Linked DNA regions of Tamandua tetradactyla. The protein of the gene in region 1 purifies or fractionates together with the protein of each later gene. This does not show direct contact. Links are inferred from orthologs where the notes say so. Each region holds a gene or a part of one and is shown in the gene's direction. Other genes may lie near its edges. The genes, in order: CDK19, MED8, MED18 and MED23.

Region 1 (7,226 bases):
GCACACATACATTTTTAATTTTGATAGATGTTGCTAAAATCAAAGACTTATACATATTGATATATACATACATTTAGTGATGTACACTTTCACTGACAACACAGGAAAGTATCCATTTCCCCATATTCTTGATAACAAAGAGTGTTATCAAACTTTTTGAGTTTGTAATTAAGCTTTTTATAATCCGTATTTGATTTTTTTTCCTACCTACACATTTATGACTTTCCATTTACCCCAAGAATATATTCAGTAAGTCCTAGCTGTGCAGTTTACTAGTTGTCTGTTTGTTCACATATAAAATTGGAAAAACAGTAGAACACATCTTATAGGGATATTTTGAACATATTTTATAGGGATATTTTCACATTTAAATGATATAATGAATGCAAAAATCCCATGTTTACATAGAGCAAGCAACTGAAAGATCTCCATGCTCCACCATCATACACTGATGACTTCCAAAGCCCTACACATTTAGGCTTGATCTCTGATTTACAGGTAAAACTATTCCCCTGCTTAACTGTTACTTCTATCTTGATGCCAAGCAGGCACTTCAAAGTCACGATGTACGAAACCAAACTCATCATCTTTCTCTCAGAAATTCCTCCTACTCCTTTCCAAAGGTAAAATCTGATTACTGAATTAAAAATCCTAGAAGTTATCTTGGATTCTTCCATGTTTTTTTAACCCCACATTTAATTACCTACCAAGTCTACTGAATTTTATTCCTACATAATCCTGGTATCTGCCTTTTTTTTCATATTTTATGGTTCAGACTTTGTATTCAATCAGCACTAACTGTGGTGGCCCAGGGCCCAGCCCCCCTCCTAAACAGCCCTAATACACCTGCTTTAGGAGAGAACAAAGGTCAAGAAAGTAAACAATCTCCCTGGAGGGGGAGGAATGTAACCACAGATGTAAAAACAGTATTGATTGTATCTGAGTCTTAAACACTAAACTTAGTAAAACATCAGCTCTTAGGCCCCTTCAATGATTATTCTAGAGACTCAATGGCCTCATACTACATGGAATGTCTTTGTTCTAAAATCATATATTACTCTTTGTGTGTGTGTGTGTATGAACCCACACACACACACCCTATTCCTTGTGGAGTGCTATTTCTTCAAACCAGCCACCACTGAGACCCTCTCCTGTTTTTAAATCCCAATAAATCTACATATATGTCTGTGCCTGGCATGTTTTTCAGTCTTGCATCAGCACCAGCCTGTGCTCTGTGTGACTCAGTCTGGGCCCAAACACTAATGTAATAACTTTCTTCTTACCTTCCTTCAGTTTGTCTGGAACAGTGTTGTCAGAAAGATCTTCTGAATACAAAAGACTGATTTACATTACTCCTTAGCTCAAATGTCTTTAATACCTCCCATATTGCCTATGAAATCTTACACCTCTGCTTGCTAAATCTACCTTGTCATAACTTGACTTCTAATCATCTATCTGTCCAGTCTTCTCTTCCTTGACTTCTTTTTTTTTATTTTAACATAAATTAACTCATTTATTACAGACTAGAGATGTTTCAAATTGTTGAGCTTCCAATGTCTTTCATCTCCGCCAGTCCTCTCACGGTGACTCAAGCACCTCCGGTGACTGTTTTCAAGCAAGAACCACACTGAAAGCTCCTCACAGCTCTTCTGTTTATTTTGGTTTTACCACAGAAGAAACATGTGCGCTTAGCGTGCTAGCTGATTTCAACTTTCTTCACCATTTTCCTGAGGGAGGGGCCATCCGCGTCCAGCATGTACCTACCATTCCAACCAGCTTGGTGCATTTAGCCATGTTGAGGCAAACCAACTCCAAGCCCAGAGAATCCCATCTCTCTTCCTATCCACCTCATTTTCCTGCCTTGGTCTGTTTTATTTCAACTTTTTGCTTATCTTAGAAGATATGCTGTCTCATAATATATGTATTGCTGCTCTTTCTGAAATAATTCCCCTGCTTCCTACTCCCTCATTTGTCTGCCAGGCAAAGCCCTACCCAAACTTTAAATTTTAGCTCAAAACTACCTCCTTTGTGACACCTACCCCGACGCACCTAGATTTAAGAACTCCTATTACTGTTTGTACCCACGGTTTATTTATTATTATTTTTAAATTTTGAAATACTTTCCAACTTACAGAGCAGTTACAAAAATAATATGCACCCCATACAGAGAAACCCAATATACTTCTACAACTCATACCAAGATGTAAAATTTTGCAACATTTACTATATTATTAAATTTATCTATCTCTCTAACTATCAACCTACCTACACACCTACCTATTCATTCTCTGTACACTTCAGTGTAGGTTGTATTCTCATGTTCCCCCAACATTTAATATGACTATGTACATTTCCCAAGAACAAAGGTATTCATTATGTAACTAGCTTAAGTGCAAAAACCAAGTTCAAGAAATTTAACATTGATATAAATCTTAGTCTATATTCTACATTTTTTATATGTCCCATTAATGTCCCTTAGGGCCTTTTCTCCTTCCTTGCTAGGTCCCATCCTGGATCATGTACTGCATTTGTCAGTCTCTTTAGTTGCACTTTCTTCTCTTTTAATTGTGGGTATATATATAAATATATTATATATATATAAAACATAAACTTTTCCATCGCAACCACTCCCACCCACACCATTTAATGAACTTAATCACATTCACAATATTGTGATCCACGCACCACTTTTCATTACTCGAACTTTTCCATTTTCTCAAACAAAAACCCTACATCCATTAAGCATTAATCCCCATACCCCCTGAAACAGCTTTTTAATGCTTTTATGTTACTTCAAAAGATTTTAGTTCCCAGTCAGGAAAAGAACAGTTTTCATCTGGTATCTCCAGCACTGATTACAGTGCCAGGCAATAAGAGAAACTCAGATACTACTTGATTGCAAATATCATCAAGAGCTGAAGAAGTTTCCTAGGGAGGAGCTGTTGTAAATAAACGATCCTGTTTCCTCCCTCTAGTTTTCCAGGCTTCTTTTAAAACTTAGTAGGCAGGACTCACTCTTCGCTTTCTTTACCACTTGAGTTAGCATTGACTATTCCTTCCTTTGGGTTCCCACTGAATGCGGTACCTGAATCCTATCCTAGCACCTATCACGTTTATGTTCATCTGTATGCCAAACATACACGATTTCATGGACGTAGTAATGAAATAAATCATAGTTCACACCGATTAAAGAGACATCCTTGAACTTTCTAGGACACCCTCATCACTTTGCATACACCATAAAACCCCCTTTTCTATACAACCAAAACGATTGTTATTTAAAACGCTGCATCCTTCAGGCACTACGGGAATCGCAGATGTTGGGGAAGGTGGGTGATGCGAGGAGGGGACCGACTACAGCGCCTAGAATAGGGTGATTGGCTACTGGGGCTTAGAAGTTATATCTTCTCCTCAAACCAAGGCAACAACTAGGAAACCGCTGTGAATTCCGCATTTGAAATACGGTTTTTGCATTGTAAAGAAAAAAAGATTAGCCTATCAGGAAGAACTCAGCACAACGAATTTCCAATCACGAGCGGGAAAGAAGCCAAAGACTGGGGATACCCAGGCACCAACAAGGACGTTATTCTCTAGTCTCCGCCAATGAGCGGCCGGACGGTGGCGGGGCAACAGGCGGACCAAATGCCGTAGCAAAAACAATCTGCTGTACAACTGTTCCAACCACACTACTCGTCTCCCAAACCATCGGAGCAAAGTTCTGAGCAAGGCACTTGTTAAATACTTTCCACTCTTCTACTCGCCCGGGGACAGTCATAGTGGAGTATGACACTTCCACCAGAACAAGGGCTATCTTGAGGTCAGTACCCATAGGACCGCGGTGAAATAATACACCGCAACTTTCAGCTCTCCACCTTCACAGGAACTGGGAGTGCACGGCTACCTGAGGGGGTGGGGCGGTCCCAGTGCGCAGGCGTGCGTGCCTTGTTGGGGGCGAGGCTGTGAAAGCCCAAGACAGCATGGGAATTGTATTTCTTTCGCGGGACAAGCCTCCGTCGCTCCTGAGGCCTTCGGGACTGCATTTCCCAGGAGTCTTCGCGGCCTCGGGGGGCGGGCTGGTTTGTTAATGAGCTCGAGAAAGCCGTGGCGCGGCCCACCAGGTTCCAAAACAAGGAAATGAAGGGGGGAGGCGGGACTGGGGCTGCCTGCGGGAGCCGCCGCCGCCGCGGAGGAGGAGGAGGAGGAGGAGGAGGGGGTGGAGGAGGTGGCTGCCGCGGCCGCCGAGGAACCCCTTGCTGAAGGCGGACCGTGGAGTGGCGGGCGGCGCGCGCGCGCGCGCCCGAGAGGCGGCTGTTGGAGAAGTGGAGCGGCGGTCGCGGGGGGAGGAGGAGGAGAGGAGGAGGGACTGAGCGGCGGCGGCCCCCGCGTCCCGGTGCCTCTATGGGGGAAACAGACAATGGATTATGATTTCAAGGCGAAGCTGGCGGCGGAGCGGGAGCGGGTGGAGGATTTGTTTGAGTACGAAGGGTGCAAAGTGGGACGCGGCACCTACGGGCACGTCTACAAGGCGAGGCGGAAAGATGGGTAAGAGCAGGGGCGGGGGGAGTAGGCTCGCTCGGGTCCTCGCCCTGCCCGCGACCCGGCGGGATAGGTGGGTGGGAGCCCTGTCGGGCTGTGCCGCGGGGCGCGGCGGAGGTGGTCGCCGGGCCGCGTCCCGGAGCGGACTCTGAGGGAGGCTTCCTCTGCGCGCCTTCCCGCGAGGCCCCGTCGCGCCCCTCGAGCTCCGGCGGCGCACTCCTGTCGGGGGCCGTCGGTGCGGTACCGGAGGGCGCTCTCCGCGCGTGCCTGGAGCCGCGGCGGACTCGAGTTAGAACCTCGGTCGGAGGTGGAGTTTGTGGGGTCTGGTCTCCTGGGGAGACGCGGAGGGCGGGGAGAGCTCCGCCAAGGAGTTGCCGCTCCGGCCCTGGGTTGGTGACGGTCGTTGTTGAACTTCCAATCGGCTGAGCCCCTCCCGGGGGCGGCGGTTTGAAACCTCGTAGCGGAGCCGGCCGGGCGGCCGAGCGCCGGGGTCCCCGCCAGCCTCCGGGGTCTGACCCGTCGGCATCGCCACCTCCAGACACGACCTCCGCCCCGGGGGCCAGCCTGCCCGAGTTGAGCCTTCAGCACAGCCCTTTCTGACCCAGTCGTGTACCCGGTGACTTCTTGACCCCTCCTCGCCCGCCTCAGATTTCGCATTCTCAAGCATTCAGAGTTCCGCACGTTCCCTCGAATGTGGGACCTCCCTAGAGACTAACCCGATTTTGTGCGCCAGAATTTCAGAGTTGGTCCAGGTTCTCTGGTACCCCCGCTCCCCCCCCCTCCATTCTCCCCCACTTTGGGTGCTCTTCTGTCCTCCACTCTATCCTCTGCCAGGTGACTGCGAGCTGGAGCTTACCGGGCACCTAGAGTAACGAGAAAGAAACACGGGGCGACAGAGTTGGGCCTAAACCTTTGTTTTCTTGGAAGTTTAGGGAGAACTGTAGAACCCCCTAGGAATGTTCCCTTAGGAGATGAGCTGAGTTATCAGTTGACATACGTACATCCTGAGGGCAGACGAGCTCTTACTGCAGGACAGGTGGAACCAAGTCCTTGGCTGCGAAATGTAGGTTTAAACCAGTTGTTATCCTATGTCCAATCCTTGCAGGAATTCCCCTCCCCCAGGTTAGGGAGCCAAGAAAGATCTGTCTGGCCCCCTTATTCTCTACATTCGGTCATACTGTAGGAAGGAGAGTTTTAAAGAATTTCTGAATAAAAACATTTCTGAATAAACTGATTACAAGCCGCTTTGACATTAGTAGATTTGTAGTGTTGTTTATCGTTCTGTGCATTCTGTAGCAATTTGATATGGTTGATTTATGAATGCTAGGACCAAAGTAGGAAGAGTGTGTGTGTGTGTGTGTGTGTGTGTATGTATGTACGTATGTTCCTGCGTGTGTGCACACGATCGTGCTATTGAACATAACTTTATAAAGGGTGTTATCATAAAGTGTTGGGAGGCGTTTGCACTCCTTACCCCGTCTAGATTGATTATTGGTGTCAGGAATTATGAGACTTGACACTTGAGAAAGTGGTTTCTGTGAAAGTATGTTGGAAAATACAAAGCACTATACAAATGTAATGGACTATTATTTTTGCAGATATCTTTTTTCTCATGTCAGAGGCCCTATACTACTCAGTTATTTGTAAACTTTTCTCAATTCTTTTAATCACCAGGTAGTCTTGAATGAATATCATGGAATATGATATTCATTTTATTTTTTTTTAATTTAGTTTTGTTTTTTGAATATCCACTCGTTACACTGTTATTTTTGTAGGAGTCATATATATTTGGGGAAAGCACATCAAGTTTTCTTATTTGGACATTGATGTTACAAAATAAATCAAAAGGTGGTTCTTTTCACACATGCTTTGTAGTATATATTGTCTAGAATTTTATAATGTATTTTAATTTTTTGTTAGCTTCTTTTTATCAAACTTTTCAGAAAAATTAAAATTTTTAAAATTTTAATTCAGAGTTGTATCTGTATAGCACAGACTTACAACAAAAAACCCAGATAATTTAATTCCCGCCTCTGTTTGTCCTTTTTGAATATTTTTCCTTTAATAAAGTCCTTGATTCAAATACACTTCCTTCTTGAGTGAAATTTATTTGATTAGAAATAATAAAGTTGCTTTAAGAGATTAACAAGGTTTCATCACAGCAGATTAGTTTATGTATCTTCAAAACAATATGCTTTTATTTTTTTTCTAACTAGGATTTAGAAGCATTAGCTTAAATCACTATATTGCATTTTAGAGAAACCATACATTTTTTTCCTGGATCTAGAATGTGGTTGAGAGTTGAGGCATTACAGTAAACACATCTCTTGTGGGCTCATAGGACGTTATTTTTTTATTTTATTAGTTTTATGATTTCAGCTATTTGAAAGAACAGAAAGTTTTTAGTGATGGCTCTGAACTGATGCAGAATTCCTGAGTAAAGGATTTTACACCCTGATCATGATGTTTCCAGATTTTATTTTGGTTGACTCAGAAAAATGTATAATGCTATTTTAGGAAACAAGAGAAATCACATGGTGTTGTTAAAGAGAAATTATTCTGTTGTATATAATATATAGTTAAAAAATTGTTCAGGTCTGTAGACGAATCATTGGAAGAAGTAACTTAATAGAAAATATCATTAGAAGAGCCTCTGCTTAAAATTTGATACTATAGTTTACAAAATCTTA
Region 2 (6,972 bases), on another chromosome or scaffold:
AACTATATTTTTCAAACATAATCCCTAAGTTCCCTTTATATTTAAGATGTAATTTATCAGAACCAGAAAACTTAAGAACTAATTTTAAAGCACCTAGAATGGCATTTTTCATTCTTGGGCTTATTAAAAATGCACATTCTTAGGCACCATCCCAGACCAGCTGAATTAGTTGATGGGGCTCAGGAATCTGCATTTTAGCAAGTTCCCCAAGTGATTCCTTCATATTAATGTGTGAGAAGCCCTAAATTAGCTGTGTTCTCACTCCATCCACATTCGTGTGCAGTTTCAAATCCCCAATATTTAATACTCCTTGAGTTCAAAATGCATTACTCTTAGAGCAGTCTGACAAAGAAGACAAAGTAGGGTTTTTGGGGTGTGAGATTTGGATTCAAATCTGGTTTTATTATTTGCTATAATAGGTGACTTTGAACAAGTTACTTAATGTTTCCAGGCCTCACTTTCTTCACTGATAAATGTGGGCCAGAACATTTACCTTGTAAGGATGTTGTTGCAATGAAAGGGGAGTCAGAATAATGATAAAAGAAGCCTATTGGGTCACGGTGGCTCAGCAGGTAAGAATGCTTGCCTGCCATGCCTGAGGACCCGGGTTCGATTCCCAGTGCCTGCCCATGTGTTAAAAAAAAAAAAAGACGACTATCATCCTTTGGGGCATTTATTAAGGCCGACATATCATTAATACCAGGATGAATACCACACTGTCAGGAACTGTGTTGTATACCATGTGCACCAGGATGAATGAAACCTTGCCCATCTCATTAGTTTGTTGTTTTTTTGTATTCCCCCCTATATGATTAAGGTCAATTAGTAGTAGTAGTAGTAGTAGTAGTGGTAGTATTTTGTATGCTGTATGGTGGGGGTAACGTTTCATTCTTTTTCCATGTGACTATCCTTTTATTGCAGCACCATTTGTTGATTTTTTTTGGGGGGGGATGCATATATGGGGAATCAAACCCGGGTCTCCTGCATGGCAGAGAAGAATGATCAATTATTTTTTTGAACTTTTTCCAACCTTTGTGCTATCTTCTGTTAATAGACTCCCATTGAAATAAGGTAGTTTTTTTCTTTTGAATTGTTTGAAGCCTCCTTGCCATTATATTTACGCCAAAGTCCTGAATCTCCAGCACAGAGTCAAAGGAATCTTCTCCAATCTCAGCCTCATTTCTCACCAATACACCTCCCACTCCTGTCCCCAGGTTAAGACCATGCACTCTAGTGCTAGAGCACATAGGATCAAATGCTGGTTCTGCTGTCTATTAGCTGCACGACTTGATAAGAGTTATTTAAAATGCTCATGCTTCAATTTCCTCATCAGTGAAATAGGGAAAATAGTACCTATCTCCTGGGTTTGTTAAACTGGGAATTAAAAGATACTTAGTAAGCACTCAATAAGTGTTAGCTATTTTCATTGTCACATTGTATCCATGCTAACAGCTGTTTCCTCTCAGTTCCCTGAAAGCTCCAAGCTTCTTCGCCATTCCCTTTACTGGTAGTGCTCCCTAAACTTTCTCATAGGCAACTTCCACCCATTAACTTTCTCATAGGCAACTTTCACCCATCCTCAGGCTTCAGTTTAAATGTCATTCCTCCAAGAGGTCTTCCCTGAATCCCACCCCCTACTTAACAGAGTAGTTAAGAGGCCCTATTAAACATTCTCATTCACTCTGTATTTTTCCTTTGCAGTGCTTATTATAATTCAGTATGTGTTTACTCCATAAAGATAGGAAATATTTCTGTTTTATGCAGTTGTATCCATCCTGATACCTAGCACAATTCTGAGTCTATAGCAGCACTCATGAAATATTTTAAGTCTTTGATGAATGAATGATTTTCTAAATCTAGGGCATCTCTCTGACTATGCCCAATCATCCTCTCAGGACCATAACAACCTCTAAAAGTCAGTCACATTTTTTATGCCCAGGGGCAGCTCTCTTCATTTCCTTTACCTTCTAAGATAAAATTTTCAGAAACTCAAATCAAGAATTCAACAAATGCCTAACTTTTGGCTGAATGGAAACTCCCAGGAATGTGTGTCTTAACACCAAGTTACTTTAGACCTGCACTGTTCAATACAGCAGCCACTAGTCATATGGAACTACTGAGCATTAGAAATATGGCTAGTCCAAACTGAGATAGATGTGCTATAAGTTTAAAACACAAACTGGATTTTGAAGACTTGGTACAAAAAAAGAATGTTAAACATCTCTTAATTTTTTATATTGATTATATGTTCACATGGTAATATTCTGGAAATAATGAGTTAAATGAAACACATTATTAAAATTACTTTCACCTGCTTTTTACCTTTTTATGCAGCTACTAGAAAATTTAAAATTATGCCTGTCGTTTGCATATGTCTTTTGGACACTGCTGCTTTATTAGATTGTCTGCCTAAAAAGATATGCTGTATCTCCCCACTATATCCCTCCATTTCCTCTCATTCGAATCCATCCCTAAATGCAGTCCAAATTGTCCCATGGTTTCTCTTATCATTATTATTTTTGAAGCATATGTGGGTTACTTCACCATCCCAGTGAACATGTCAGATTCTTTTGAATAAGGCATAATTTCTATAGTCAGTCTCATCCATCTCCCAGTGAGCCAGAGATCTACCATACAGGGATTACAATTTATTGTTACAAACATTATGGTTAACACAGGATCTAGACTTAAGCCACCTGATTTTGAGTCCTGCTCCTGGCTCACCATTTGCTACGCAACTTTGTTACTTTTATATCTCTGTGCCTCAGTTTCTTCAAATATAAAAATGGGGATTATATTTAATCCAAATATAAAAATGGGGATTTTATGAAAAAGCTACTTCATATACAGTTGAAAGAATTAATTGATTTGTAAAGTGCTTAGAATAGTGCCAGGCATACAGTAAGTATTCAATAAATTAATGACTACATTTATATTATTACACACATCCCAGCCCCTTCCCACCTACTAGTACAATCGCTTGTAAAACTCAGCACTTTTCCTGGTGTGGTTCTTTCCATATCTAAGAATTCATGCTAAGTATTATTCTAACGCCAAAATCTTCTACTACCCAGGTGAATCGTACTGGAGCAAGGTAGTTAACCGTTCTCACTGCTCAGTTTCCTTATCTGTAAATGAGAATAGATATCGTCACGTTCCACGCACAAGTACTGAGTGACAAAATGTATATAAGTTCCTTGTATAATAATCCTTAGCATCTAGTAAATACTTCAAACGCATTTTCTGGTGTAACCCATCTGATCCTCGCAACGCCACATAAGGTAGATACTTTACAAAGAAGGAAACAGGATATGGGAAGATAAGACTGGCCCGAGGTTGCTAAATGGCAAGGCTAATATTGGAACGCAGTCTTATTCGACTCAAATGTTCTTTCACACAAAGCAGAACTACTTTTCCAAAAACCATGAGTGCTAGAATTATATTAATTTATTTGCTTATGGCAGTACAACTTTTAAAGAAATGCAGACACCGGCAAAGTAAGCCTACTATCGTGTTGTCACTGAAAAAAAAACACTAGAAGTTCAAACCACGGGCTTTGTTAATACCACTAATAGAATAAAGAGCCCTAAAAGCATTAGACCGGCGACGCTGATGAAATTTCAGTTAAAAAAAGCACAAAAATTTCGCCTCGAGACCCCGGGAAAGCTGCAGACCGCGGTGAAACGGTTCCGTTGTCAGGCCTTCCGGGGTTGGGCTGGTCCCTGCCAAGGAATACGCTGCCGGGCCACCCCCAGGCCCCGAGGAGACCACGACAGCGCCTGTCCGCCGAACCCTCCCACTCGGATCCAGGGATCCAGCGCTGGGCCCGCCCGCCCCTACCTCCGGCTCCGGGTGCTCCGAGGCCATCACACAACCCTCCCTCGACTGGGAACGCCGGTCCACCCTCGACCCCTGACCCGGCTACTCTACCCGCGACAGGATCCGGAAGTGAGTGGGAGGGCTGAGTCCCAAGTTTCCTGATTGGTGAATGAAGCCCTTCCAGAGAGGCTCGCGGAGTTGGAAACCGGAAGAAGAAGTCGGTGCAGCCGCTACTGCCATCGCCATGCAGGTGAGAACTAGGTTGGTCCTGTTGACAGCCGGCGAACTTCGGTTACTGTAACCGAAAATGGGCTGGCTGAGGAGAGAGTGTGGAGTTCGCTGTGTGAGGCGGGGGCAGGGTCGGTTGCTGATGAGTAAGGGAACGCGGCATGGGGGACCAGGCAGACCACTAAGATAAGTGGGCGGTGCAGATGAGAGATGGGGTGGGGCCCGGCTGATAGGAGAGAGACTGCTGCTAAATTCAGAGGGAGGAGATAGCACTGACTTGTTTGGGTGTAGGAATGAATTAATTTGTAATGAAGAGTCAGAGATGCAGTCCAGAGAAGACTTCTCAAGAAATGGTGTGTTGACGCAGACCCTAGCCTAGGTTGAAATGGAGGCTGTTCTCTGTAAAGAAAACTGGAGAAAAGCCCGAGGGGGAAAGGAATTGTGGGGAAGCCAAGCCATTTATAACCGAGGCCGTGGCATCAATCCAGCATCAAGGCTCTTGTCAGGCATATTAGCGGGTTTGCAGGACGGTTTTGCATTATTTTTCCTAGGCGGTTGATTGTTAAGGGTGAAGAAATGGAGTAAAATAGGATGCCACAGATGGAAAGAAAACGCTTCGCAGACCCCAAGCGTTTAAAATTGCTCATCTAGTGCTTAGAAGCTGGTCATTTGTGGAGTTTCATTAGTCATTTAGTTTCTTGCACCTGGTAGTCTTTTAGTAAATGTTTTTAGGTTGAGTGAGCTTATGAAAGAAGCATAGGGATGCTGGCATATAAATAAACAAAATGAATGTAAATTGATTCAGCAAGAAGGAGTTTGAAAGCAAATAAAGAACTGTGTTGGAGGTGAAGCTTATGGGCAGGGCTGCTGTTCAGAGAATGCATCAAGTGTAGGCAGATTTCCCAGGGATGTGGTCAGTGTTAAGAACAGCTTACAAGGCAGATTGTTGGTTAAAGGAAGTTGATGTACATGTGTACAGAAGGCAATGAGTCCCACGGAGAATAGAGTACCTATTACGTAGGAAAACCAGGCATGGATTAGGAGGTGATGAGAGAAAGGAATCAGATGGTAGGAGGATTTGTGGTAAGGTGAATAGGTTGAAAGTTCTAAGGGTTGATGGCATCTGTAACCAAAATACCAAAGACAGAAAACAACCTGGCTCATCTCTGTTACCTCACCAGGTATTGTCATGTCTTCATCTGTGTATGTTGACATAGTACATCAATCTGGGTAGCCAGCTTTTTTTTTTTATTAATGCAGAGGGAAGAGAAACAACTTGAGGCATCATTAGATGCACTGCTGAGTCAAGCAGCTGATCTGAAGAACTCACTGGGGAGTTTCATTTATAAGTTGGAGAACGAGTATGACCGGCTGACCTGGTAAGAGTTGCCAAGGTAGGCTGGGGAGGGCTGTTTAGTAAGTGTGGAACTGGGCCTTCTGACAGGTAGGTCAACTCTGATGCTGTAATCATTTATCAGTTTGGAAACATCTTTTGATTTGTGAAGAGCTGGGTTTCCCAACATTTAACATTTGGAGTTTGGTTTAGGGCCTCAGTGGCAAGGAAATAAAGAGATGTCCTGTTTCCCAACCCAGGTTCTTGCTAGGTTTTGATTCTTACCCTCTATCTTTTCTGATTAGGAGCTTCTCTCTCAGCCTGTCCACTTTAGCTCTATTCATGCTGGACCCGTTGCCACAAACTGTGGCTGGGTCTTTTAGGTCCAGTCTTCTCTGGAAGTGTGGATCCTGTTCCAGGCTGAAAAAGCAGCTTTTACCAAGTTTCTGAGTTTTTAGCGATAGTAGTGAAGTTGTCGTTTCTATTTTGCCACTGTTCCTCAGCCCATTCATACAATGAACTGTCTTTTACCTACATCTTTGTCAGAAATTGAAACTGTGTCCCTCTTTCCTACATCCCTGTGAGCCAGTCTGGCTACTGCCCAAAATCAGTCATAGGGCCGTGAGTCTCTTTGGGATGAGCCTGGATATTCCTAGTCTGAATAGGGGCTACTTAGAGGCTACTTTACTGGAAACTACCTGAGGGAAGGAGGGGAACTTTCTAATACTTTCTTACTACCCCCAGGCCTTCTGTCCTGGACAGTTTTGCCTTGCTCTCTGGACAGTTGAACACTCTAAACAAGGTCTTAAAGCATGAAAAAACACCACTGTTCCGTAACCAGGTCATCATCCCTCTGTTGTTGTCCCCAGACCGAGATGAAGATCTTATGGTAAGAGGAGGAGAAAGGTACACTTTCGAAATTAAGTTCTTGATTGAGAGCCATGAACATAATTGTTGAATAGTTATAGAAGTTCTGAATATGGAATAAAGAGTGGCAATAAAAAGTGTGGGCTGGAGATGACTCCCAGGGATGAGTTCAACCCTGTACCATGGGATCAACAATTCCATCCTGACCAAAAGGGGGAAAGAAGTGTAACTAATAAAGTATCAGTGGCTGGGAGAGTTCAAATAGAGTTGAGAGGCTACTCTGAAGGTTGCTCTTACACAGGCTTCAGTTAGACATTGCTACCTATCATAACTTGCCAAACCCCAACCAAACCATTCCAGCCAATCTTAAAGAACACTTAGGGCAAAATATAAGATCCTACAAAGATTCCGTGCACTAGGGTAACTTTCCAGAAAACTACAACCTCCGGATGGGTCCCTGGACCAGATAACTCCTGAAACCTAGAAGGCCCAGCCTGGCCAGAACATCAGCTAGTTCCATCACCCTACTCCATATTACTGACAGCCCCTTCTAGCATGAAAGATTTAGCATGACCGTAGCCAATACCCTTAATGTGTAGGATAGAAAGATCAAAGGTGATGGTGGAGTAATACAGAGAAGGTAGGGTTTAACGTACAGAAATGATTGCTGAATCATTAAATTGATATTGTTTTAGTCTCCAGTATCTTATAGCAGCTAGAAGTAA
Region 3 (6,976 bases), on another chromosome or scaffold:
CATTTATTGGTTGTGTGGACTCAGGCAAGTCATTTTACTTCTGTGAATCTCTTTTTCCTTCACTATAAAGTGGAGAAGGTGTATCTAGCTTTTAGTAGTATTTACAAGATTTATAACTATATAGCATAAAATGACTAGCATGTAGCAGCTGCTCAATAATTGTGATCAACATAATTTTTGAGAACATGTATAAAGAAATATGGGATTCCTCCCCTTGAGATGTTTACTTTAAATATATAAAGTATATAAATAATACTTTATAAACATTATGCCCTTTTACTTTTACAAACTTCATCTTATAAACTACTATTATTATTTCCAATTTACTCAAAAGGAAATTGAGGCTCAGAGAAGGGAAGTAAGTTGCCTAAAGTTGCACAGCAGGATAGTGGTAGTGGCAGGTTTGAGCCCAATTCTAATCAACGAGTCTTATATCTTATCAAAGAAACCCATCCCTATAACTCAAAGGCCTCATCTATATTTTACCATATTGTTCACCCATTTTTTTGTTTGCTTGTTTGTTTTTTGTTTTACATGGGCAGGTACTGGGAATCAAAACCAGGTCCTCTGGCATGGCAGATGAGCATTCTTGCCTGCTGAGCCACCGTGGCCTGCCCATGTTCACCCAGTTCTTATTCATCCCTCTAAAAAAAATTATTTAACCAAATGTCATCTACTGTGAAATGCCAACTAAACTTTGGGATAAATACTATGGTGCCTCAAAGAACCTATAATTCACTGGTCTTTCTGTTCTGAAGTTAGTGTCTGAATAGGAAAGGAGAGGCCCGGTATTTTTACATCCTCCTCCAGTCATTTTGTCATTGAGAATTTATCACTCAGACCAATCTTGTGAATCACTAGTGTGGTCAGGGGTGCATCTTAAATCCTGAGTTATATGCAGCCTTAATAACTGTAAGAGGCTTATGCAAGGGCCAGTCCTTGGCCATCTTCTCCTCTTCTACACACTCTTCCTGGTTGATCTCATTCATTCTCATGCCATCATCTATGATCTATAAGGCAAGAATTATGAACACTCTACCTCTAGCCCAGCTCTTTCTCCCCTAAATTTTGGCAGGACATTGTTACTTGAGTGCCCCATAAACACTCATACTCAATGTGTATACATGTGAACTCATCTTTCTGACCCACTCACGTTTCTCCGTGTTTCCTAGCTCAGAGAAAAGAATTGCCATGGCCACCCAAGGTAGAAACTAGACATTTGTGACTCCTTCCTCTCTCTCTCTGCCTTTATCTCTTAGTCATCAAATCATTACACCTTTTATATTTTTTAAATCTGTCTTCTCTCTTGGAGTACTCTTTTAGCTAGAGTTGATCCATAGCTCTTAACTGGTCTCCTTTCCAAAGATTTTCTCCATATTGCAACCCCTGTGATCTTTTTAAAATTCACATCTGTTTTTCAGCCTGCCATACAAAGTCCTCCAGGATTTGGGCCTTATCTGCTTCTCCAGACTCTTTCTTACCCCTTCCATAGATTCTATCTATGTACCAATTCTACTTAACTTGATATCCCTTTGTACATAATATTCCCATTGCCTGGAACTTCCTTTCTGCCATTCACTGTCTGGCCAACTCTTATTTAATTTTCTGAGGCAGCTGGAAAGGGAAGGGGTGGGCGGAGGGACCCGTTCCTCTTGGCCTGCACATATCTAGCCCTCACTCAGGTCAGCACCTGAAAAGAACCAAAGAAAAGTGCAGCTCATCAATTCCTTATTAACATTAATAGAAGGGGAAGGGCCCCTCTAAGTCTTATAATGTAGTAGTCCCAATCTCAGAGTGCTCTCCTCCTTTGGAGAACACCTATGCTCACCCCCTTTGAGGGTGCACTTTCGCTAGTCATTAAACATTTTGGCTATTGTTTTAATTTGTTTAAGCTGCTGGAATACAATTTATCAGAAATGTATTGGCTTTTTCAAAGGGGATTTATTAAGTTACAAGTTTGAAGTTCTAAGGTATCCAGAGAAAGATACTTTGACTCCAAAGAAAGGTCAATGTCTGTCACATGGGAAGGCAGGTGGCTAATATCTGCTGGTTGTTCTCAGTTTCATTGCTTCCAGCTTCTGATTCCAGTTGCTTCCTCTCTAAGCGTCTGTGGGATCATACTTCGTTCTGGGACAAAACTCTGGGTCTCACCTCTTAGCTTAGCATCTCCTGGGGCCAGAGATTTCTTCTCTTCAGGTTTTGGCTATTTCTGTGAGTTCTTATTTAACACCTGGGCTATTTCTGTCCTGATCTCCAAAGGTCTGTGTCTAAGTTGCTTCTGAAGCAATTGTCCTTTTCCAAAATGTCTCCCTTTTTAAGGACTCCAGTAACTAATCAAGACCCACCTGAAGTGGGTGGAGTCACATCTCCATCTAATCAAAAGGTCACACCCAAAATTGGGTGTGTCACATCTCCATGGAAACAATCTATTCAAAATTTCCACCCTAAACAATATGTCTGCCCCCACAAGGTTGGATTAGGAAAAGAGCATGACATTTTTGGAGTACATAACAGTTTCAAACTACCACAGTTAAACACTGACCAGTCCTCAAATTATTTCCTGTGGCTCAGTGAAGAACCTGCATCATGTCAGGTCCTGGATGAGGTCTCTGAGAAATCCTGGGGCTCTCCAGCATCCAGCTGAGAACTCCCCAGGCTGTCTGGCATTTAGTTTATTAAGCTTTTGGCTGCACATACTGATTAGCTCTTAAATTCTTTCTTGTGACTGAGTTAACAGCCCTCACGGAGCCAGCCGCTGGTTGAGGTCTCAACCTCTCAGAACTCCCAGAACTCTGCAACATCACCTCAAGTTCATCCAGTACTAATTACCTCTTTCAGGGTACCCCCTTTGATCCTCCCAGGATGGGTCAAGTACCCTGCTTGCTTCCAAAGCAGCTGGGCTACTTTATATTTACCCATTTTATCAAGTTACATGGTGCTGTCTCCTTAGTTTAATTCTCCAATAGCGACAACTTGACTATAAACTCTTCTGAGGGTAGAAATGGAGTCAAATCAACAAGTAGCAGAATATTTAGAACACAGAAGACTCCCAATTTAAAAAAAGAAGAAGAAAAAAAAAGAATGGTAGATAGTGTAGGGGAACCATATCTAGAGTGACAATATACTGTAGTAAAAGTGTGAACTCTGAAGTCAGCTACTTAGATTTGTATTCAAGTCTCACTCCTTCCCTGAAAGTTAATAAACATCTCATTGCCTAAATTTTCCCACCTGTAAAATGACAGGATGCTGTGAGGATTAAAATTTAAATTTTGATATTTTGTTAACTATGGATTTTTTGCTTTAACTTTGTAAAATATCATTTTTATCGCTTAGTCATTTGTTTTTGTTTTTGTCTTTACACTTCTTTCAAATTTGTGCCCCAGGAGAGTGCCTCACAGGTCTCACCCTGGTCCCGGCCCTGCCCTCATCTTATGTGCTTGATATAAAAGCAGCTTTCCATAAGTATTTGTTGAATTTACTTATCTCCCTTTATTTTTATATTGAGTATAACATACATTTACAAAGAAAAGTGAACAAACATTAAGTGTATTACTGACTTCCCTAATTGAGAAGAACATTATAAAAGTTTTCAGTAATGAATAACAGTGGCGTCTTCATTTTTCTCCCTTGGGTAACCCCCCAAAAATGGCTTTTTTTTTTTTAATGTCTTTCTTTTATAACATTCTCCCCTTCTCCTCTCATTACTTTGCAGTTCCCTTCCCCAGGTTCTCTTTTCCTCTCTGAGAAGCATTGCTCTGAGTCCAAAGTTTAGGCATGATTTCTTTTTTCAGTCCTATCAGCCCCAGGAGATTTCCTACATAAAAACCTCTCCAGGTCGTCGAACTTGGAAAAAAAATGACGTCACGACCGCGGATCATTCCCATAGGAACGCCGCCATCTTCCATACAACAGCATCAGATCTTGCGCATGCTCGTCTGCTTGCACAGCGGAAGACGGTGTTTCGTGCCCTCTCGGCACCCGTACATTGAGGGATTTGGTAGACGTCTGCCGTCCTACCGGAAGCGGGAAGAAGAGTGGTTACTGTGGTTGTGCTTGGCCGTGCGCTTTCCCTGCTTAGGTAACGTGGGACTGGAAGTTGCTTGGAGCTGTGCTTAAAGGCTCCGAGGTGCGTGGGTGGCTGTAATTCCTGACTTTGCGAGAAGAGGCCAGAGCGCCCGCTAAGTTGTATTTCTAGTGTAAGTGGGTAAGTGGGCACGTGTTCTGGAAGCCAATTTAGGAGTAAACCTCATCTTAAAAGGACTTCGCTTCCCCCCCCCCCCCCCCCACTCACTTTAAAAGGCGCTTTCAGTGTCTAGGAGGCAGAACCCCTGGGTTTCAGTCTGGCCTGAGCTTTGTCACTGACTTGCTCTGTATCCTCGGGCCTCTCTCCTGGTTTCAGTATTTTCGTGTGTAAAAGGAAGGGTAGACAACGTTTCTTAAAATTTAGTTCTTTTGAATTTTATTGTACGTGCATTATGTCATTTGAGCTACACAGACTTGGGGGTCAGGTATCGTTTGCCTCATTACTGTTAGGAAGACACTGAGTCCAGCATGAGAGGTTGCTCAAGATTACACAGCTAGGTTTTGGAGGATTTAGAACTTGGGACGAGAACATTATGCTGGAGCAGGTCAGTCCTGTATATTTCTGTATCATCAATTTTTGGAAAAAAGACCTGTCTAACATAGCAATTACCAAAAAAAAATTGATGAATCTTTTGATATTAAGGCCAGTTACGCAAGCAGACCCATCATCTCTCCATCACTGATGTATAAACAACTCTAACTCTTCTCAGGTGTATCCTGTGCCTTACCTGATTGGGGGCTGAGTCTGATTCTTTTGTCTTTGACTTAATCAGTCAGACATAATGGAGGCTCCTCCAGTCACCATGATGCCTGTCACTGGGGGCACCATTAACATGATGGAGTACCTGCTGCAAGGTAAGTGAACCAGAGAACTTGGATGATTTGTCTCCCTTTATCTTATTCAGTTTCCCTGGAGATGGGAGACTGTTAATACAAAAGCAGCCTGCAGTTTCTGGCACTCCGTAGCCACCTTTTTTTTGTCCCTGCATTTTATTATGAAAAAATTAAAACATACAGAAAACTTCAAGGAATTCTGCAGTGAACCCCTGTATATTTGCTACCCTCATTCTAGTTTTCACTTACTATACTTCCCTTATTATGTATCTGTCCATCTCTCCATCCATCAGTCCATATTATTTTTTATGCATTTCAGTGTAAGTTGAAGACCTCAGTATATTTTCTCCTAAGTACTTGAGCATGCATAAAATTAGAGTTCAAAATTTGTTATTTTCTCTGAAGTAAAATTTATATACAATGAAGTACATAAGTCTTAAGTGGACATTCCATGAATTTTAACAAATGCATTCACCTGTGTAATCCAGACCCTTTTCAGGATATGAACAGAGAAGGTAATGATTTTCAGAAGGTCATATAATGTTTAGTGGAGAGTTTAGACTTTAAATCAGATAATTCATTCAGTAACTTAATAGGCTGGGAATAGGGTTATTTTTACTTCCCAACTTGCTCCTCCTTCCTTCTTCTACATCTCAGTAAGTGGCCCTCTTATTTACCTGTTGCTTAAGCTAAGCAATTAGGAGTAAATCTGTTTTTCATTTTACTCCTTCATCCAGTCTAAGTCTTTTTTACTTTATTTACAAAATGTATTTTAAATATGACTTTTCTCCACCTGCAATACCACTGCCCTAGTTTGTCATCTCTTGTCTGACCTACTTTACTAACCTTCTGCTTCTAATGTTCCTTCCTCTTTTGCTCCTCTCTTGTCCCTTGTCATACAACAGCCGGTGATCTTTAAAAAAAAAATTATAAAAAATATGAAGATAAAAAAATAGACTAGTATACTGAATATTCCATATTCATCATCTAGCTATGCTAACATTTTGCCATATTTGCCTCATTTGTTTTCCTTTGCTGATATTTTTAAAGAAAATTTCGACATCATAACATTTCATCCTTTAACACTTCTATATGTATCTCTTAAAAAAAAGCATATTTTCCTCCATGATCGCAATACCATCATTAGCATTTAACAAAATGAATAATTTTTAATGTCATGTAATACCTAGTCCATATTCAAAATTACTCTGAATACTTTTTTCCCAGGCTTTCAAATGACGTTCTCATTTTCATCATTTGGGTCTCAGGTCAATTGTCTCTTGCCTTAGAAAAGCCTTCTCTGACCATTCCACCCCCTCAGAAAGTTCTTTCCTTCATCCCCACCAGTTGCTCTCTACTCCGTCTCTCTTTTATTTCTTTGTATTTCTGTTAATTTGTTTACTTAGTGTTTTAGTGTTTTCACTACTAAGCCCTAATCTCTGCAGGGCAGGGCCTCCTACTGCCTAGCACAGTGTCTGGCACAGCCTTCAGTAGGTATATGTTAAATGAACCAGCACTTGTTAAGCATTTAAAATGTTTGAGGAATGTAAGAGGATAGATAGGAGCGAAGGTGATTCTCTAATGGGTCTAGAAGTAGTGTTAGCATATTGAAGATGATCAAGATTCAAAGGGGTGGTATAGACCTACGTGTCCCACTGATTCACACTAGAAATATGAATGAGCTCTCATAAGAATTACTTCAAAGATGTGATTCTTGTATAAAGAGTGTTTAAGTCCAGGTTACAAGGGGAAAACTGCTGTTGCATGCGATGAGCTATGTTCAAAAGGAAGCCATCAGCACTGCCACAGCAACAGCAGAGGTAAATAATGGGGTGAGGGACAAGAGTTAAGAGGAGATTTAGATTTCCTATTTGGCAAGGGTGTGTTTATTGGTTTTCTGTCTCTTGGAAACAATGAAATTATCTAAAATTGAGAATGTTGATGGATTGTGAACTTTGGGCCTTCTACATGATGCCTGATGAATGCAGGTGGCAGAAGATGCACTGATAGAGAAGTAGATTGGCAACCAATGGTGTATACTTATGAACGAAGGTTGTGC
Region 4 (6,838 bases), on another chromosome or scaffold:
AAAACCGTGTAAAATATTTAGGAATAAATTTAAGAAAAGATATACAAGACTAGTGTACTGAAAACCACAAAATAGAGCCAATAAAATTTAAAGAAGCCCTAAATAAAAGGAGAGATCTATCATGTTCATGGATTGAAAGGTTCAGTATTGTTTAGTTATAAACTGCCCACAAACTGTGCTACAGAGTCCATCCAATTCCAATCAAAATACCAGTATGTTTCCTCCCAACTTCGGATAAATTGATAAGCTGATTCCAGAAATGCAAAAGACATCTATAATAGTCAAAATGAGCTTCAAAAAAAAGTTGAAGAAAATACCTTATCCTTTTTCATGACTTACTAAATTATAGTACTTGAGACAGTGTGATATTGACATTAGGAGAGAGTCCAGAAACCTATTAGACCTATATTAATACAAGGAAATTCACTGAAGAAAGGAAAATTGTTTTAACAAACAGTACTAGAACAAATGTATAAGCGTATGGAAAAAAATGAGTCTCAACCCCTACTGTACACTATTTACAAAAATTAATTCAGGATGGATCATGGCCCTCAACATTAAAGCTAAAACATAAATCCTCTGAGGAAAAAAAAAGACAAAACTGGAGGATATCTTCATGACCTCAAAGTAGACTAAGATTTCTTAGGCCACTGAAATGCTAACCATAAAATTTAAAGAGTTTTCAATTGGACTTCATCAAATTAAAATTTTTCCTAATCAAAAGATATCATCTAAAAATGAAAAGGCAACTTCTGGAGGACCTCTTTTCTTGCTCAGATGTGTGGCCTCGTTCTCTCTAGGCCCAGTTCTATAAGTGAAATCATTGTCCTCCCCGCCACGTGGGACATGACAACTAGGGGTGAAAGTCTCCCTGGTGGTATGGGAGATAACTCCCAGGGATGAGTCTAGCCTGGCACTGTAGGACCAAAAATGTCATCCTGACCAAAATGGGGAAAAGAAGTGGAACAAATAAGGGATCAGTGGCTGAGAAAGTTCAAAGAGATTCAAGAGGCTACTCTGGAGGTCACTCTTAGGCAAACTTCAGTTAGACATTGCTACCTACCATAACTTGCCAAATCCCAACTAAAATCATTCCAGACAATCTCAAAGAACACCTAGAGCAATATGTAAGATTCTACAAAAGTTTCATGCAATTGGAAAACTGTCCAGAAACCTACAACTTCCAGATAGGTCCCTGGACCAGATAAGTCCTGAAACCTAGAGGGCCCAGCCTCTCCAGAACATCAGCTAGTTCCATCTCCCTACTCCATATTATTGACAGCCCCTTCCAACATTAAAAAGTTAGAATGAGCATAGCCCAAGTACCCCTAAAGAGTGGGAGAAAGTTCAAAGATGATGGCTGAGTTATCCAGGAAAGGTAGAATTTAACAAATGAGTATAACTGCTGACTCATTATATTGGTATTTTAGTCTCCAGTATCTTGGAGCAGCTAGAAGTAAAAACCTAAAATCGTGGCATTGTAGCCCATACCAAACTTTGAAATCTGTTCTACAACTAATTGTTGTGCTGTGCTTTGAAACTTTTTGCTTTTCTGTATATATGTCATTTTTCACAAAAAAGAAAAAGTCAATTGTGATGATAAAAATATATTTACTCCTTCTAGTCTCTAATGTTCTGGAGCAGCTAGAAGGAAAAAATCTGAGATGATGGTATGATAGCCCATGACCAACTCTGGGATCTGTCCTGCAACTACTTGAAAACTATTCCTTTTTTCTTTCTTTGCTTTGTATATAAATTATACAATGTAAAAAGTGAAAAAAAGAAAAGGCAGGCCAGGGCTGGGAGAAAATGTTCACTATACATATATCTGATAAAGGATTGTATACAGATTATATAAGAACGCCTACAAATAAATAACAATAAGAGAAACCACACAATTAATAACGGACAAATAACTTGAACAGACCCTTCACAAAAGAATGGCCAATAAGATATGAAAAGGTATCAACATCATTAGTCAATCAGAAAATGCAAATTAACCCCCAAGGAGATACTGCTACCCACCACTTAGAACAACTGAAATAAAAAAAAAAACTGACAACACCAAATGTCCATAAGGACGCAGAACAACTGGAACTTTCCTCCAATAGTAGTGGGAGACAAATCAGTTCAACCACTTTGGACAACCGTTTGGCAATTTCTTATAAAGTTAATCATATGCTTTGACATAAACATGAATCAGAAATTCTGCTCCTAGGTATTTACCCAACAGTGGGGAAAATATATGTCTACAGAAAGACTAGTATGAGAATGTTTGCAACAACTTTATTCATAATCATCAAAAACTGAAAATAACCTAAATATCTATCAAAGGTGAATCAATAAATAGCTACATATAAATATAATGGAAGACAATTCAGCAATGACAAATATGGATGGATCTCAAAATATAATGTTGTGTGATAGGAGGCAGACACAAAAGATTACATGCTGTAGGATTCCAATGATATAAATTTCAAGAACAAGCAAAACGAATCAATGGTTATAGAAATGAAAACTGTTTACTTCTGGGAAGGGGAGTTACCTGCAAAGGAGCACCAGGAACTTTCTGAGGTGATAGAAATTTTCTATATTTTGATTGAGTGATAGTTACACAAAGTGCGAACATTTGTCAAAATTCATGGTTCTGTACAATTTAAAATTCACGCATTTATTATATGTAAATTATACATAAATCTTAAAAGTATTAGGGAAAAACACATTAAGTAGGTCTGGAAATGGATAGTCAATTTTTATTCAATGAATGCAGCATTAGCAAGCGTAATGCAACATTAATTTGCATTTGGTTATGGCAAAAAAGGAATTGTTTTCTGACCATTTTACCTTTGTAATTACAGAAGCCTTGGTCAATATTAAGATTAGTTGACATTTTGCCAAGAATACACTGATTTAGTTAGCAGGTAGAGTTTTCACCACATAATAGGTGAAAACTGTCTAGAACTAAAGTATGATTAAAGATAATCTGAAATACAGATAATCTGTTTTCCATAAAGAAAATAACAATAGATTATTAGAGAACTTGGGTTTTAATAACCCAGGCTCTGTTATTTTCCTGGGTTGAATGTACTGCAAAATCAATTATTTCAATACAATTTATTAAAATACCTACCAGTGCACTGAGCAGAGGGAGGATAAGTGTTGCGTAAGTGGAATGCTCTGCTACGGGTGCATACAAGATGTTAGATGAGGATAAATCACTTACCTCTAGGGGAGCAAGGCTAGCTTCATGAAGGTATAAAAATTAAACTATTTGAAGGAATGAAGCGGTCCCACTTACCTTCTGCTCTGACCTCCAGAGGATCAACCTACCTTTGACCTTTCTCCACTCCTATCCCCATAAAGAGGCTGCAGGTATTGAATAAAGGGCAATTATTTTTAGATGATTATAACTAAAAATGATAGCTATTCATTTTTTTTTCAATCTTTATCGAAAGCCTACAGCCAGCTCTGAGTCCGGGCACCTGGGCCACCATAGTTAAGCAACATGGTCCTTGTCGTCAGAAAAAGTGTGGTTTCAACACCCGCTGTTCGCGGAGCTCCAGGATGCCCCCCCCCCCCGCGCCCCTTTTTCTACCTTTTGCAGAAGCGTTAACCCGGAGCAGGAAGTAATTCCCACTCTGACCTGCAGGGCGCGCCCCGCAGCCGTCGACGCCTCCGAGTGACTTGTACTCGAGGTTCCTCTGGGGGGCGCTGTTGTGCGGCTCGCGGGCCGCCCTTCACCACAGGCGGAACTGGCTGGCCGGCTCGTAGTTTCTGGGAGTTCCTCCATCGGAGCGCACCGGGTTGTTCTCAGCTTCCGTGCAGGTCCGGGTTGTTTACGGGGCCGGGAGGAGACGCGCGGGGAGGGGCACCTGCGGAGGAAACCCGGGGCGAGCTGAGGTTTCCTCGGGCGTCTCAGCCCCTCGGCCGTCTGTTCCGGGAGCCGCTCGCCCCACAAGGCGTGGGCAATGGTACAGATGGAGACGCAGTTGCAGAGCATTTTTGAGGAGGTGGTGGTGAGTGGAGCGGCCCGGAACCCAGGGCGACGCGTCGGGGTGGGGAAAGCAGCGGGGCCGCGGACCCACGAGCCCGGCCTGGGCAGCCGCTTCGCTCTCCTCCCCTTGTTTTCACACGGAGTATGTATGTGTGCAGGAGGTTGTGATTGTCAAGTGCTGTCATTCGGGGTCTCTTTTGAAATCCACACATCCTTTGTGGTAGGCCTGGCTAGTATTGTTACATTCTGCGTCGCTGATCGGGGTGATTGTCATGCTACATTGTAATAAATCGTTAGGGGAGCTCCCCCCAGTTCCCACTCCTTTTTTTTTAATTCACATCGTTCACGTGTTTGCCTTTTTTTTTTAACCCCCACAGAAAACAGAAGTTATAGAAGAGGCTTTCCCTGGGTGAGTATAGTGCATGGCAGGTTTCTGTGTAAAAAACATGAGGGTGCTTTTGTAAGACGACTTAGGTTCGTCTTGGAGGATTATAATATAGACTATCCTGGTTAAGTTGAATTCACTTTTTTTTAAAGCTAGTGGCAAATAATCTCATTATTAATTTTTTTTTTTTTTAGTATGTTTATGGATACGCCTGAAGATGAAAAAACAAAACTTATCAGCTGTTTGGGGGCCTTCAGACAGTTTTGGGGTGGTCTTTCTCAGGTGAGCATTGCATTTTTTAATACATTCATTTGATGATTTGGGACCTCTTCTTTCCTTGAGTTTTACTCTGATGTTGCTGTTAGGAACGTCATTCCATTTTTCTGGAAAGGGAGAAATAAAATTGTCATTGTCTTTTCTTTCTTTCTCTATTCTGGCTTACATTTGTTTTAATCTACCTATTTTCAATGAAGAACCTATCTTGAGAAGTCAAGTTGATGACCGACCGCACAGTGTTGAGATATTTTCGCTAACCTATAATGAGATTCTTTATTTGATATTTGTTGAATGTCCCCCTGTTAGATTAAGATCATTTCACTAATTCTTCTGATTTATTTGATGCACTTGAAGACAACTGTGTTGGGCGTTGTAAAAGGATAAAAATGTCACCAACTTTACTCAACAGATGAAGGAACTATCACAACACTAATAGAGAAATTTGTTAAGGAGATAAAGATACCATAGTAAAGATGCAAAGGTAATGCAATAAAGATACAAAGATATCCAATTTAAAGGATACAAAAAATGTATTAAAAATGTAAAAAGTGCAGTAAAACATAGTAACAAAGGATAGTTACTGGGAAAAAAAAAGACCTGTGTCCCTGAAGAAGACAAAATGTGTGATCCTTATAGTTTGTAGTATATAATCTTCTCATAGTACATTAAGATAGGAAAATGAGAACTGTTTGCGGTTGAGCCACTGGTGGTTAGACTTCACAGGCAGGGGTCACATAGTCATAAGGCATTCAGATTTAAAATTTTTAAAAATTGTTCTGTAATAGGTAATACATTTATGTGGTTCAGAAAATACAAAAGGGAGGATCCAATGAAAAGTCACTCTTTTAGCTTAATCACCTGCTCTTTTTTTCTCTCTGCAGCCAGTGTCTCCAGTTTGTTTTTTTAGAAATATTTTATGCATATAGAATTGTACTTACAGAATGGTCATGTACTGTGTATGCTTGGTTAGCTCCTTGTTTTCTTCCCCATGATAATAAAAACTGAAGGTAATTCCACATCAGTCCAGTAAGAGTTATTCCTTCCTTCCTCCCACCTTCCCTCCAGTCTTCCCTTTCTTCTAGCAGCCTAATATGTATGTCCATGTCTTCATTATTCAACTCTTTGTCTATGAACTGACATTTTCATTGCCTCTTAAATTTTCCACTTTAAACAATGCTGTAACGAATTATAGTTTGCACAGGACATAGAATAAATGCTGGGTCAAAGGCCTGTCTGTTTGTAATTTTTATAAAATTGCATAATAGCCTTCCATAAGGGTTGTACTAGTTTACACTCCCACCTGCTATGTAAGAGAGTGTCTCTTCCTTGTAGCTTCACAATTGAGTGTTAATAAACTTCATGCTCTTTGCCAATCTAATAAGTCAGAAATTTTATCTCAGTATGCTTTTATTTCATGTTTCTGGAGTGAAGTTCGACATCTTTTCAGCATGTTTTAGTTCTAAATTTAGTAAACGTTTTAGGACTTAAGGTATGGTCCCATCTTCAAGAAGTACTAATGGAGGTGCCAAGAAGTAAATGGATATTTCTGAATCTGTGTCACATCAATAATACAAGTATGTATGAGGGACAGTGGTAATACAGAGGATGTATAGGATCTTCTTGGGTGTATCTCAGAAGACAAATTCTGATAGGGGCACAGGGTTTTAGTGTCACATTTAAAGCTTTGCTAGACTAGAAATTGGATATCTAATTGGATTTATAATCGATTGGGCTTCTAGGGGTTAAATTTATACTAACTTCTCATGAGGCTGATGTACTAATCCATAATGGATTTTCCCCCCAGCGAGACAGCAACATTTATATCTGCCGTTAAAGGCACTACTTCTCTTACTTCTTCAGGGTATCTGGAGGGTCAATTTACAGCCAGAATATTGACTACCTCAAAAGGTGTGAGATACCTGTTGTTTCCCTCCTCCTGTAGTAAATCTTTTTGTTTTGTTTTGTTTGTGAAAAATAACATATACCAAAAAAGCAATAAATTTCAAAGCACACCACAACAATTAGTTGTATAACAGATTTCAGAGTTTGGTATGGTTTATAGCAGAGACGATAGGATTTAATGAGTGAGTATGACTGGTGAATCATTATATTGAATTTCTTTTAGTTACCAGTGTCTTGGAGTAGCTAGAAGGAAAAGCCTAAAATTGTATTGTGACCCTTCA

Evidence for each region.
Region 2: the proteins of CDK19 (region 1) and MED8 purify together in Homo sapiens (affinity purification with mass spectrometry; 6 studies listed by BioGRID and IntAct, counting the BioPlex papers as one, with this or other methods). This does not show direct contact. The link is inferred for Tamandua tetradactyla from reciprocal best matches to the Homo sapiens genes CDK19 and MED8.
Region 3: the proteins of CDK19 (region 1) and MED18 purify together in Homo sapiens (affinity purification with mass spectrometry; 5 studies listed by BioGRID and IntAct, counting the BioPlex papers as one, with this or other methods). This does not show direct contact. The link is inferred for Tamandua tetradactyla from reciprocal best matches to the Homo sapiens genes CDK19 and MED18.
Region 4: the proteins of CDK19 (region 1) and MED23 purify together in Homo sapiens (affinity purification with mass spectrometry; 5 studies listed by BioGRID and IntAct, counting the BioPlex papers as one, with this or other methods). This does not show direct contact. The link is inferred for Tamandua tetradactyla from reciprocal best matches to the Homo sapiens genes CDK19 and MED23.

Annotation. Positions count from the first base shown.
Region 1 is NC_135331.1:169,436,218-169,443,443, reverse strand, and holds the start of CDK19 (cyclin-dependent kinase 19), read left to right. Parts: upstream 1-4,216; 5' UTR 4,217-4,414; coding exon 4,415-4,542; intron 4,543-7,226.
Region 2 is NC_135328.1:180,671,409-180,678,380, forward strand, and holds the start of MED8 (mediator of RNA polymerase II transcription subunit 8), read left to right. Parts: upstream 1-3,961; 5' UTR 3,962-3,988; coding exon 3,989-4,069; intron 4,070-5,307; coding exon 5,308-5,426; intron 5,427-6,124; coding exon 6,125-6,269; coding exon of another isoform or gene 6,270-6,286; intron 6,287-6,972. Other genes in the region: KICSTOR complex protein SZT2, read right to left, coding at 3,841-3,867. UniProt on the Homo sapiens protein: Component of the Mediator complex, a coactivator involved in the regulated transcription of nearly all RNA polymerase II-dependent genes.
Region 3 is NC_135328.1:197,874,019-197,880,994, reverse strand, and holds the start of MED18 (mediator of RNA polymerase II transcription subunit 18), read left to right. Parts: upstream 1-3,958; 5' UTR 3,959-4,078; exon of another isoform or gene 4,079-4,204; intron 4,205-4,793; 5' UTR 4,794-4,865; coding exon 4,866-4,938; intron 4,939-6,976. UniProt on the Homo sapiens protein: Component of the Mediator complex, a coactivator involved in the regulated transcription of nearly all RNA polymerase II-dependent genes.
Region 4 is NC_135351.1:31,606,274-31,613,111, reverse strand, and holds the start of MED23 (mediator of RNA polymerase II transcription subunit 23), read left to right. Parts: upstream 1-3,831; 5' UTR 3,832-3,968; coding exon 3,969-4,016; intron 4,017-4,371; coding exon 4,372-4,403; intron 4,404-4,573; coding exon 4,574-4,661; intron 4,662-6,838. UniProt on the Homo sapiens protein: Required for transcriptional activation subsequent to the assembly of the pre-initiation complex. Component of the Mediator complex, a coactivator involved in the regulated transcription of nearly all RNA polymerase II-dependent genes.